3 linked regions of the Ovis aries genome follow. The main gene of each other region encodes a partner of the protein of the gene in region 2 in a complex. Links are inferred from orthologs where the notes say so. Each region holds a gene or a part of one and is shown on either strand. Other genes may lie near its edges. The genes, in order: IQSEC2, ARF1 and AP1B1.

Region 1 (3,647 bases), on a different chromosome or scaffold from region 2:
CTTCGAGGGCAAGCCTGCCTCGCTGGACGAGGGTGCCATGGCTGGGGCCCGGAGCCACCGGCTTGAACGGGGGCTCCCATATGGCGGCTCCTGCGGAGGGGGCATCGATGGTGGGGGAAGCTCCGTCACCACATCTGGAGAGTTTTCTAACGACATCACGGAGCTTGAGGACTCCTTCTCCAAACAGGTCAGCATCCCTGAAAAGGGCCTTTCCTCTCCATCTCCATGCTCTGGCTACTACTACAACCTTTTACCTGTACTTCAAGGAAGTTGCCCAACAAGTTGTTGTTTTGAGAACAATAAACAGCTACCATCTGAGTAGGGACCGTGAGGGTGATGAGAAAGGATTGGCAAGAGAAAAATTATATTGTTCAAACAAGCAAGTTCTCAGTCTGGAACATGAGCCACTATCAGATCAAGGCCTAACTAACAGCTCCTACTTTATATCAGGTCCTCTATATGCCTCAAAATGGCCTTCGAGACTGGGGGTGCTATCCTGGTTTTACAGAGGAGGAAATTGAGGCTCCACAACCCTGAGAGGTGAAGTGACTTTTCCAAATTGGATCAGGACTCAGCTCTGTCTGGTTCCAAAGCTTTCCCTTACACCACACGATCATGGACCAGGCTCTGTGCTGGGCACTGTGGGGGAGACAGGTGAATTGGCCAGGATTCTTTTTCTCAAGGATCTCCCCAAGCAAGCAGGAAATAGCAGGCACATGTGCACAGGACTGTTTCCTGAAAGAGTGTGCTCAGAGCCGTGAGAAGAGATCCCATATAGTGCTGTGGGAACCCAGAGGAGGGAGAGGAAATTTTCTTCTGGGAGGACGAGAGCAGGCTTCTTTGAGAAAACAGCACTGGAGCTGGGCCTTAGCAGGCAGCGAAGAGTTAGCAAGTTAGAGATAGTCAGAAGGGTGTTTCTTGCATAAGCATTGCATCAGGAAAAGCAGGGAAGGGTGGGAATGTAAGTGGCAGTGATAGTGGTGGGAGATCATTCTAGGCTTGGAGTGTGTCAGCGCAGCTGATCAGGTACAAATCCCAGTTCTGGCATTTCCCAGCTATGTGACCATGGGTAAACTGTTTAACTCCACTGAAACATGATCAATAACATGAAGCTAAAACCATCTTTTTAGAGCTGTTTGGAAGGCTGAGTTCAACTCGATAATATATCTGAAAGCACCTAGTATATGGCATTGCTAAGTACGTGTTAGTTTCCTTCCTAAAACCAAAAAGATATTTGGTAAAAATTGTTGAATGAATAAATGAAAGTGTATAAGAGAAGAAATCATTCTGCTCTAACCTCTGTGATCTGGCCCTGCCCTAAGCTTGGTCATGCTTCCCTGGAGTTGGTGATGGGGTTGGGAGAGGAAGCAGATAGAAGACAGGAAAGAAGTATTAAAGAGAAGATCTAAATCACTCATTTACGCATTCATATGCCACATTTCATTGAACACCTCTTCTGTGTCAAGCTGAGCTAAAAAGAGAGAAACCCAGCCTGGACCCATCCCTCAAGTACTGGCCTCATAGTCTGGTGGGGAGATTCAGGAACCAGGCCTGGGCCCCCCTCTCAGTGCTATTCAAGTCTAATGGGGAAGTATCTATTGCTGCATAGCAAATGATCCCAAAATTTAGTAGCTTAAAACTGAATGTAAAGACTGAGCTTAAACAACAAACAGTTATTATCCCACATAGTTTCTGAGGGCCAGGAGTCTTGGGGTGGCTTGACTGGTGGCTCTCGCATAGGGTCTCTCATGAGGCTGTGATCAAGTTATAGGTTGGGACTGTAGTCTCTAAAGGCTTGACCGGGGTTGATGGGTCTGCTTCCAAGCTCACTCGTTTGGCTCTTGGCAGGAGGATTCAGGGCCTTGCCACATGGGCCTCTCTATAGGACTGCTCACAGTGTGGCTTCCGCCAGAGCGAGGGATCTGAGAGAGGGAGCACAAGCGAGTGAGAGTACTCAGGATAGAAGCTGCAGTCTTTCCTAACCTAATCTCGGAAGTGACATCCCATCACATTTGCCAGATGCTGCCGGTCCAACAGACCGACCCTGGGACACTATGGTACATGAGGGTGTGAATAGCAGGAGGTGGGGATCATTAGGGACCAGTTGGGAGGCTAGATACCAGAGTGAGGCCAGCTTTGGTCCAGATTCTCGAGGCTAAATATCATAGATTTCCTAAGAGAACCAGACAGAGGGCTTCGGGAGCCCAGAGGCAGATGGGATTTTGGTTTACCCTAAGGGAAGGCTGAGGCAGGAATGTGGCTTGGGATTAGTGAGGAGGTGGCATTTGGCTTGGGTCTATATGGACGTGAAGAAGGTATTGGGATGTCTGAGAAGGGAACTTGTGGGCATAAGTTCCAGGTCCTGTGAGCTCACAATGGCTCCCTGGGAGTTATGTCCTGCAGAGAATCTGGGGAGGTAGGGGAGGGGAAGCACTTTTCTGGCTGCCCCACCAGGAAGATCCCCCCGCCCCTTTTTTTCCCCTCCCTCCCTCATTCCCACCCTTTCACCATCCCACTGTCCTTCATCTTTCCCTCCTTTTTCTCCTTTCCCCTCCTCCCCCTTCCCCTCCCCCTCAGGTAAAGTCTCTGGCTGAATCCATTGACGAGGCCTTGAACTGCCACCCATCGGGGCCCATGTCTGAGGAACCAGGGTCAGCCCAGCTGGAGAAGCGAGAGTCAAAGGAACAGCAAGAGGACAGCTCGGCCACATCCTTCAGTGACCTTCCCCTCTACTTGGATGACCCAGTTCCCCCACCATCCCCTGAACGACTGCCTAGCACAGAGCCCCCCGCCCAGGGCAGACCTGAGTTCTGGGCACCAGCCCCTCTCCCTCCAGTTCCTCCACCAGTGCCAGCAGGGTCCCGGGAAGATGGTAGCCGTGAGGAAGGCACTCGCAGGGGTCCTGGGTGCTTGGAATGTCGGGATTTCCGGCTGCGGGCTGCCCACCTGCCCCTGCTTACCATTGAACCTCCCAGTGACAGCTCCGTGGACCTGAGTGACCGCTCAGATCGCGGCTCTGTCCACCGTCAGCTCGTGTATGAGGCTGATGGCTGTAGCCCCCATGGGACCCTGAAGCACAAGGGGCCACCAGGCAGGGCCCCAATCCCACACCGCCACTACCCGGCCCCAGAGGGCCCAGCCCCAGCCCCGCCAGGGCCCCTACCACCAGCCCCCAACAGTGGCACTGGGCCCAGTGGTGTGGCTGGGGGTCGGAGGTTGGGGAAGTGCGAGGCAGCAGGCGAGAACTCTGATGGTGGAGATAACGAGAGCCTTGAGAGCTCCAGCAATTCCAACGAGACCATCAACTGCAGCTCTGGCTCCTCTTCGCGGGACAGCCTGAGGGAGCCTCCAGCCACCGGCCTGTGCAAGCAGACCTACCAGCGGGAGACCAGGCACAGCTGGGACTCGCCAGCCTTCAACAACGATGTGGTGCAGAGGCGGCACTACCGAATTGGCCTCAACCTGTTCAATAAGTACGTGTTCCCATTCCCACCTTGTCGCCCCTACCGACCCTGCTGCAGGCACTTAGACTCCTGGAGGCAGTGATCCTGCTGCCGCCATTTTGTGGATGGCATTTCTCTCTAGCTGTTCAGGGAATAGAATTGGCAATAGGGTGACAAGAATGGAAAGCTGCCCCTACACCCATG
Region 2 (2,912 bases):
TCACAGGGACCCTACTGTGACCATGCAGAATGGGTATCACGGCTGGTTCTGCCCCGCTTCATGTTCCCAGCGGGAAACAGACCACCGGTGGACTGGACTCAGGCCGTCACCGCAGAACCTACATTAGGCACATTTCTCCCTTCTGTGTGTTCAAGTGTTCTCCTTATTTTGTATTTGTAACTATTTTAAAAAATGCACTGAGTTTGGGTTAAAAACCAACCACCAAAATGGATCTCAACACAGACCTAAAGCCCAGAGGAGGAGTATTGGGCTCGTCTGACACACAACTCCTGGATGACCCGTGTGCCTAAAATCCCTTCTGAGTACTAAACAGTGGGTTGATTTTCTTTTTACAATAAAAAAAGCTGAGTAATATTGCATAGGAGTACCAGAAACTGCCTCATTGGAAACAAAAACTATTTACATTAAATAAAAACCCAGTTGCAGGCTGCGTCTGCACATTTACAGCATGGTGAAGCACACTGTGACCGACCATGGAGACAGCTTCTGGCACTCACACCACAGGGGCACGTTTGCCACATGAGAGTAAAGCGAGGGTAGAAGGAGGGAGTGAGAGGGGAGGAGAGAGGATGACAGCTCATTTCTGGTTCCGGAGCTGATTGGACAGCCAGTCCAGTCCCTCGTAAAGCCCGTCCCCGCTGGTGGCGCAGGTAGCCTGTATGTACCAGTTCCTGTGGCGCAGAGAGTGTAGGCCCAGCTTGTCCGTGATCTCGGCCGCGTTCATGGCATTAGGGAGGTCCTGGGGGTGGCAGCACAGCAGGCGTGGGTCAGGGGGAGTGCATGGAACCCTTTCTACCTGACCTGTGGCCCCCCAGTCAGACCTCCAGCCCTGAGAGGCTGGCTGCCTGACGTGCACCCCCACTGGCACACAGGGTGTTCAGTCACACGTACCTGTTTGTTAGCAAACACGAGCAGAACGGCGTCCCTGAGCTCGTCTTCTGCCAACATCCTCATGAGCTCCTCGCGGGCCTCATTCACACGCTCTCTGTCATTGCTGTCAACCACAAAGATGAGGCCTGCAGAGGGGACAGTAAGCGTGACTGCAGGCACCCGGGACACCCCGAGCCCCACTCCTGAGGCGTGTAACGGGGCAGCTCACTCATACCTTGTGTGTTTTGAAAGTAGTGGCGCCACAGAGGCCGGATCTTGTCCTGGCCGCCCACGTCCCACACAGTGAAGCTAATGTTCTTGTACTCCACGGTCTCCACGTTGAAGCCTGGAAGAGAGCCGGGTGAGCCTATCCCCAGGGCCACCACCACCTCCCAGCCTCCCAAGGCCCAGCGTCCTCACCAATAGTGGGAATGGTGGTCACAATTTCACCCAGCTTCAGTTTGTACAGGATGGTGGTCTTTCCCGCAGCATCTAGGCCCACCATGAGAATGCGCATTTCTTTTTTGCCAAAAAGGCCCTTGAAGAGGTTTGCAAAGATATTCCCCATGCTGCACACCGGTGGGGGCAACACTGGCCAGAGAAACCTGCAGGAACAAGGAGTCCTGGGGTCTTTTTCTGTGCTGCCCAGGGCCAGGCAAGCAGGAGCAGCTCAGAGACCGCTCACCCAGAGCCAGGCTGAGGCAGCTGCTCCTCTCACAAGCTGATGAAATTCTGGTTCCTATCCAAAAGAAAACGGTCCTGCCCACCTACCTCTTGAGCCTCTAAATCAGCCTAACAAGGCAGCATATGGGACTCTTAGAACAAGGCTGACTGGAATGTGAAGCGGCTGCTCCATCATCTGAGGAACTTATAGCCAAGGCCTGAGGGCACCTTACCTCTAAGTCCTCCAACCCGCCACTCTGGGGTGCAGTAGTGTGGCTTTCAAATGGACGCTAGGCTCTCCATAACCTAATGCACAGTTCTTCAAGGGGCCAGAAACAACCACTTCAAGGCCCTACCATGTCTCCCAACTGCCCCAAGTCTCGATGAAGCAGAGTTCAATGGTAAGACAACTAACACCTGAGAACCTAGGAGGGCCCTGGCCAAGACCAGGAGCCAGCCCTTCCCAACATGCTGAGAGCTCAGCACACCCTGCAGGCAGGACTGGCTGAGTGAGAACACCCAGGGCTCAAGAGCAGCACACCTGCTGCTCAGTCCAAGAGTATTCAGCCCAAGGGTGAGCCCACAGCATGGCCACGTTAGGGAGCACCTTGCCAAGACCTGTGGTCAGCGCTGGTCGGAGAGGTGGCCTGCGCGGTGCAGCCACGAGTGTGCAGAAGCGCACGAGTGTGCAGACGCGCACGAGCGCTGTGTCTGCACCGCCCCCCACCCCCCGCCAGCTCGCCTCACTCAGCAGAGCAGACTGGGAGCAGCCACTGAGCTGACTGGACCCCAGGTCCGAGCCCAGGCCCCGACACCCAGACCTGCAGGAAGGGGTGAGTGATCACAGAGGTGGGGATCTCTTGTACTGGAAGACCCACATATGGCCTCTCCACACTCAGTATATTCATCCTTCAACTATTTTATTTCCAAACAGGGCTTTAGGAAAAAAACAGTCACTTTCTCAAATGCTTAGGAAATCTGGACTTAGCACCTAAGGTGAAGTCAAGCTGTGGAGGGCTGAGCAGCCTTCAACTGGGCAGATTCTGTGCGAGTGTTGACAGAAAACCAAATCAACCACAGAGAGCTTGTTCTAAGCTGATGGGAGATGCTCACACCTCATCACTGGGAGGGTGCTGGTGGAGGCTATTGTTGAGGTTGGGAAGGAGTCTTGCCCTGCATACCTAACCTCCCAGAAGTAACTATGAGCTTCCCAGTGTTTGAACTTTGGATGGATACTGCTTGGGTAAGAGGCCAGTTCCACGGAGGACGCAGATACGGGCCTGCCACAGGCACTCCCCCCTCCATTCTACGTAGGGGTTGTGCCCCAGACCCCCACCACCCCACGTCAACTCTGATGA
Region 3 (3,747 bases), on a different chromosome or scaffold from region 2:
CATATTATATATTTATATATTATATATTATATTTCTAATATATTATTTATATATTATATATAATATAGTATAATTTATAATACATAATATATATTGTACATAATGTAGAATAAATAAATGTATTATGTATTATAATTATATATAATATATAAGTAAATATATTTATATATACATAAATATATAAAATGTATAATATAATATTATACATTTTATAATATTAAAAGACTAGTGATAAAGTGCACAACTGTAGGGGACTGTTTCGGAGAACAGTGGTGCCGTTCATACTGCGCAATTCCATGCAGATATTGTAAAACACCAAGTAGAAATGTATTTATTGTTTTGGGAAACAATAATTCACCAATTCACCAATATCTTGGTGAATTAAAAATACTGAATGGATATATCGAGTCTGGAAGGATATTCACCAAAATCTTAAAAATTATTGTCTCAGGGTGGCAGGATTGCAGGATTTTTTACATAGCCTTTTGCTTACTCGTATATTTCCATAATGCAAATATTATTTTAGATGTTTTTAAGAAGATGATCAGAAATTATCTAGGAGGAGGAGAAAGTTAATAATACCAGAGCTGGGAGTGAGATACCTATAGCAACCCTGGCCTGGCCGACCCAGCAAAACGGGAAATGGAACTTTTAAGTTCTCCTTGGAGGTGTGAGGTTTACGCGGAATTCCCCGAAGGGCTGCTTCAAGCGGTAGGTTAGACTTACAGCTCTAGTTTAACTCTTCTCTTCACAGGTAAGTGATCTTGAGCAACACTGGCGCCTCTCAGAGACTGAGTTTTCCTGTTTGTAACACAGAAGCGAAGCTGACCTCAAAACAAAGAAAAATAGACCTCAAAGTCTCTATGATCTTCTCCATCTCCGTCATGTTATATAGGCTCAGTTCAGCTCAGTTCAGTCGCTCAGTCGTGTTCGACTCTTTGCGACCCCATGGACTGCAGCACGCCAGGCCTCCCTGTCCATCACCAACTCCCGGAGTTTACTCAAACTCATGTCCATTGAGTCGGTGATGCTATCCAACCATCTTGTGGTATTTTTTGCTTGGCGGAGCAGCAACGTGTCGAGGGCGGAGTTAACTCCGACGCCCCGCCCCCTGGCCCCGCCTCGCTGCCACCGCCCCCGCCCGGGTTGTACCCTTGACCCCGCCCCCAGCCTGTGCGTCCACCGGAAGTGCCCGCGCGCGGGCAGCTCACTTCCGCCTGGCAGGTGACAGCCGCGGGGCTCCGAGCGTCCGGCGGCGCGGGCGCACCGGGAGAGCGGGAGGACAAGGCCGCGGACATTTTCCTGTCGCGTCGAGCCGCGCCGTGGCGTCAGGAGCCTTTCGGACCTGCGGGTGAGGAAGCGGGGAGCCTGGCGAGGCCAGAGAAGAAGTGGGGCGGGGAGTCGGGAGTCTGAGGTGAGGGATTTCTGGGGTCAAAGGTCACGGAGAGTACAGGGCGCTGGAGGGTCTAGAGTGGCTTCCCAGGACGGGAGGAGGCAGAAGGGCTGCGGGTTCATTCATTCGCGCCCCCTTGGCCGCCGGCGTGCACCCCAGCCGTCCCAGGTCCGCAGTCCCTGCCGGGGCGCCCTCCCGTAGAGACTCCTAGACTTAGGCCCAGGGGAGCTTGTGCCTGGCCTGACAGGAAACTTCTCTTCGGGTCTTGGTTCCCCCTGCACACTCAGCGCCGTGGCTGTCCTGAGGCCTCCTTGTCGTTAAGGGCCTTATCTCTTTGCCAAGGTTCAAAAACAGAAAAAAAAATATGAAACGGCCTGGCGCCACCGCCTCTAGGGTGGGGTTAAACAGAGGATTGGTCTGTCCCTAGGCGCCTCACAGACGAGGTAACTGGGGACCCCTGTAATAACGCCAGAACTACTGATGGGAATGCTAGCTGCTGGTTATTGAGCTGTGTGCAGGCACCGTGCTTAGAATGCCGCATTTAAACTTCCCAGCAATCTTGGTGAGGTAGCTACTATTATTATCCCCATTTTATCCACGAAGAAACTGAGGCACAGAAAAGTTAAATCACACCTGTAAGGTCAATCGAGTAGTATGGATGAATGCCAGGGTTCCTACCTGGGCTCGCAGGGACCTGCAGCGTGCTGAGACTGAAGCAAGGTTGGCATTTAGGGGCTGTTTAATATCTTTAGCCGCCATTAAATTTATTTGCATCTATATAAAGATATATTTCCCTGGAGAAGGAAATGGCAACCCACTCCAGTATTCTTGCCTGGAGAATCCCATGGACAGCGGAGCCTGGTGGGCTGCAGTCCATGGGGTCGCAGAGTTGGACATGACTGAGCGACTGAACAATAGCATTTAGAGATGTAGCTTGCTTTCTTCTCATCTACCTTCCTAAGGAGCATTTGATTCCCTTTCTTTAGGATGAAATTAGGCCATTGCTATAACTGATTTCTGTTCAGGGTGAGAAGGGGCCTTTTTCCCAACTGTTGAGAACTGCGAGACATAAAACAGTCTAGCCATGCAATGAATTTAAGAATATGCTGCACCTCTCTTGAGAGTGGTCAAGCTGCATTCTTTTTCAAGTAAGGGGAGGAACCACATGACCCCTAGGGTATCTTTTGGCCCTAGGTTCTTGAAGAGCATTCCCAAGGCAAGGACCTGAGTCTCTGAGAAAAGTGCAGGTCCCATGCCTTCTTGACTGGAGAACACACATCTTGCCTGGGAGACAGTGAGGTGGTTTCATGGCCAGAGGATTAGGTCTTGTGAGTCTGAGCTTTACTCGGTTGCAGACATTCACGTGCTGCAGTTCGGCTTCAGTTTCCCTGATAGCAGCACAGACCTGCTGACTTCCTACACACTCCGGGGTTTTACAAGCCTTAGTGAACCTGTGAGGATTTCCACGCACTTATAAAGAAAGCTGAGGTATAAATATTACTGTGCAGTACCTGTTTTTAAACTCCACTGTCTGTTTTCCTAGTTCCATTGAATTCACAGAAACTTAATATTGTCACCTGATCCCCATCCTTCCAAGGGAGGATTTGAGATAAAGTGACTCGTCACAGATGGTAGGAACAGGAGCAGCGCTCAGAGTGTCTGGCTCCCTGTCCTGAGTTGAGCCCACCAGGCTCCTTCAACCCCTCAGGGCAGCTTCATGAAGAGTGGCTTCACTAGTGTTCAAAGACTCAGGTCCCTCAGACTTTGTATAAAGTTTAACTGTTGAGTGTAGTTTGAGTAGAGGCTTCACCTGAGTGACTTGGAGAGCTCAGTGGTGTGGTGGAAAGAGCCTTCCTTGTCCCCCCATCTGTCAGCCGTGGATTCTCCCCCCAGATCAGCAGCTTCTTGGTAGCGTGACCCAGAGCCACCTATCCCTCAGCTCTACAATAATACCACCACCTTCACCTCCCCCTCAGCAGTGACTCGTGTGGAAGCTGGACAAGGACTTTGTGCAGAGTCTGTTGTGGTGAGTGCCTTGACCCTAGGCAGTTGATGTTTCCTGGGGGCTGGTTTTGGGGGTGTTACTTCTCTCTGCAGAGTCCTTTGTGTACACAGGACCTCTCCCATCCTTCTTGTTTCACTTCCTTAAAGTGTTTCAGAACAAGTTCAATCTGTTGATCCTGCTAGCTCTGGGCTTGGACTTTCATCTTTCTCTAGTTATCCTTGAAGCTGTTGCATGACTTGCTTGCTTACTTCCCGAAAACCCCCATTCTTGGCACCAAAGTGTGATGTGCTAATGGTGAGCCAGCATGGCTTGGTTATGAGTTTTGAGCTCCAATGTGTTTCCAGAAATC

The links.
Region 1: the proteins of ARF1 (region 2) and IQSEC2 are in contact, whole or in part, in a crystal structure (PDB 6FAE), measured with the Homo sapiens proteins. The link is inferred for Ovis aries from reciprocal best matches to the Homo sapiens genes ARF1 and IQSEC2. Residues at the interface, in NP_001019397.1 of Homo sapiens: Arg19, Gly24, Leu25, Asp26, Ala27, Lys30, Thr31, Ile46, Pro47, Thr48, Ile49, Gly50, Phe51, Asn52, Val53, Glu54, Thr55, Thr64, Trp66, Asp67, Val68, Gly69, Gly70, Gln71, Lys73, Ile74, Pro76, Leu77, Trp78, His80; in NP_001104595.1 of Homo sapiens: Arg810, Gln811, Gln841, Arg845, Val846, Gln847, Gly848, Glu849, Ala850, Gln851, Val853, Glu854, Glu858, Asp879, Phe882, Ile883, Phe886, Ala887, Ile889, Leu890, Asn892, Thr893, Asp894, Tyr896, Ser897, Pro898, Ser899, Val900, Arg904, Met906.
Region 3: the proteins of ARF1 (region 2) and AP1B1 are in contact, whole or in part, in a cryo-EM structure (PDB 7R4H), measured with the Homo sapiens proteins. The link is inferred for Ovis aries from reciprocal best matches to the Homo sapiens genes ARF1 and AP1B1. Residues at the interface, in NP_001019397.1 of Homo sapiens: Glu17, Met18, Tyr35, Ile46, Thr48, Ile49, Gly50, Phe51, Asn52, Val53, Glu54, Thr64, Trp66, Lys73, Leu77, Arg79, His80, Tyr81, Gln83, Asn84; in NP_001118.3 of Homo sapiens: Asn23, Asp25, Pro52, Asp53, Val55, Asn56, Met58, Gln59, Met83, Ile85, Met86, Ala87, Val88, Asn89, Thr90, Val92, Lys93, Tyr121.

The regions. Positions count from the first base shown.
Region 1 is NC_056080.1:51,139,236-51,142,882, reverse strand, and holds part of IQSEC2 (IQ motif and SEC7 domain-containing protein 2), read left to right. Parts: coding exon 1-187; intron 188-2,577; coding exon 2,578-3,473; intron 3,474-3,647. UniProt on the Homo sapiens protein: Is a guanine nucleotide exchange factor for the ARF GTP-binding proteins.
Region 2 is NC_056058.1:2,770,572-2,773,483, forward strand, and holds ARF1 (ADP-ribosylation factor 1), read right to left. Parts: upstream 1,460-2,912; coding exon 1,312-1,459; intron 1,238-1,311; coding exon 1,127-1,237; intron 1,038-1,126; coding exon 913-1,037; intron 761-912; coding exon 599-760; downstream 1-598. UniProt on the Homo sapiens protein: Small GTPase involved in protein trafficking between different compartments. Modulates vesicle budding and uncoating within the Golgi complex. In its GTP-bound form, triggers the recruitment of coatomer proteins to the Golgi membrane.
Region 3 is NC_056070.1:68,660,148-68,663,894, reverse strand, and holds the start of AP1B1 (AP-1 complex subunit beta-1), read left to right. Parts: upstream 1-1,204; 5' UTR 1,205-1,351; exon of another isoform or gene 1,352-1,414; intron 1,415-3,369; 5' UTR 3,370-3,419; intron 3,420-3,747. UniProt on the Homo sapiens protein: Subunit of clathrin-associated adaptor protein complex 1 that plays a role in protein sorting in the late-Golgi/trans-Golgi network (TGN) and/or endosomes.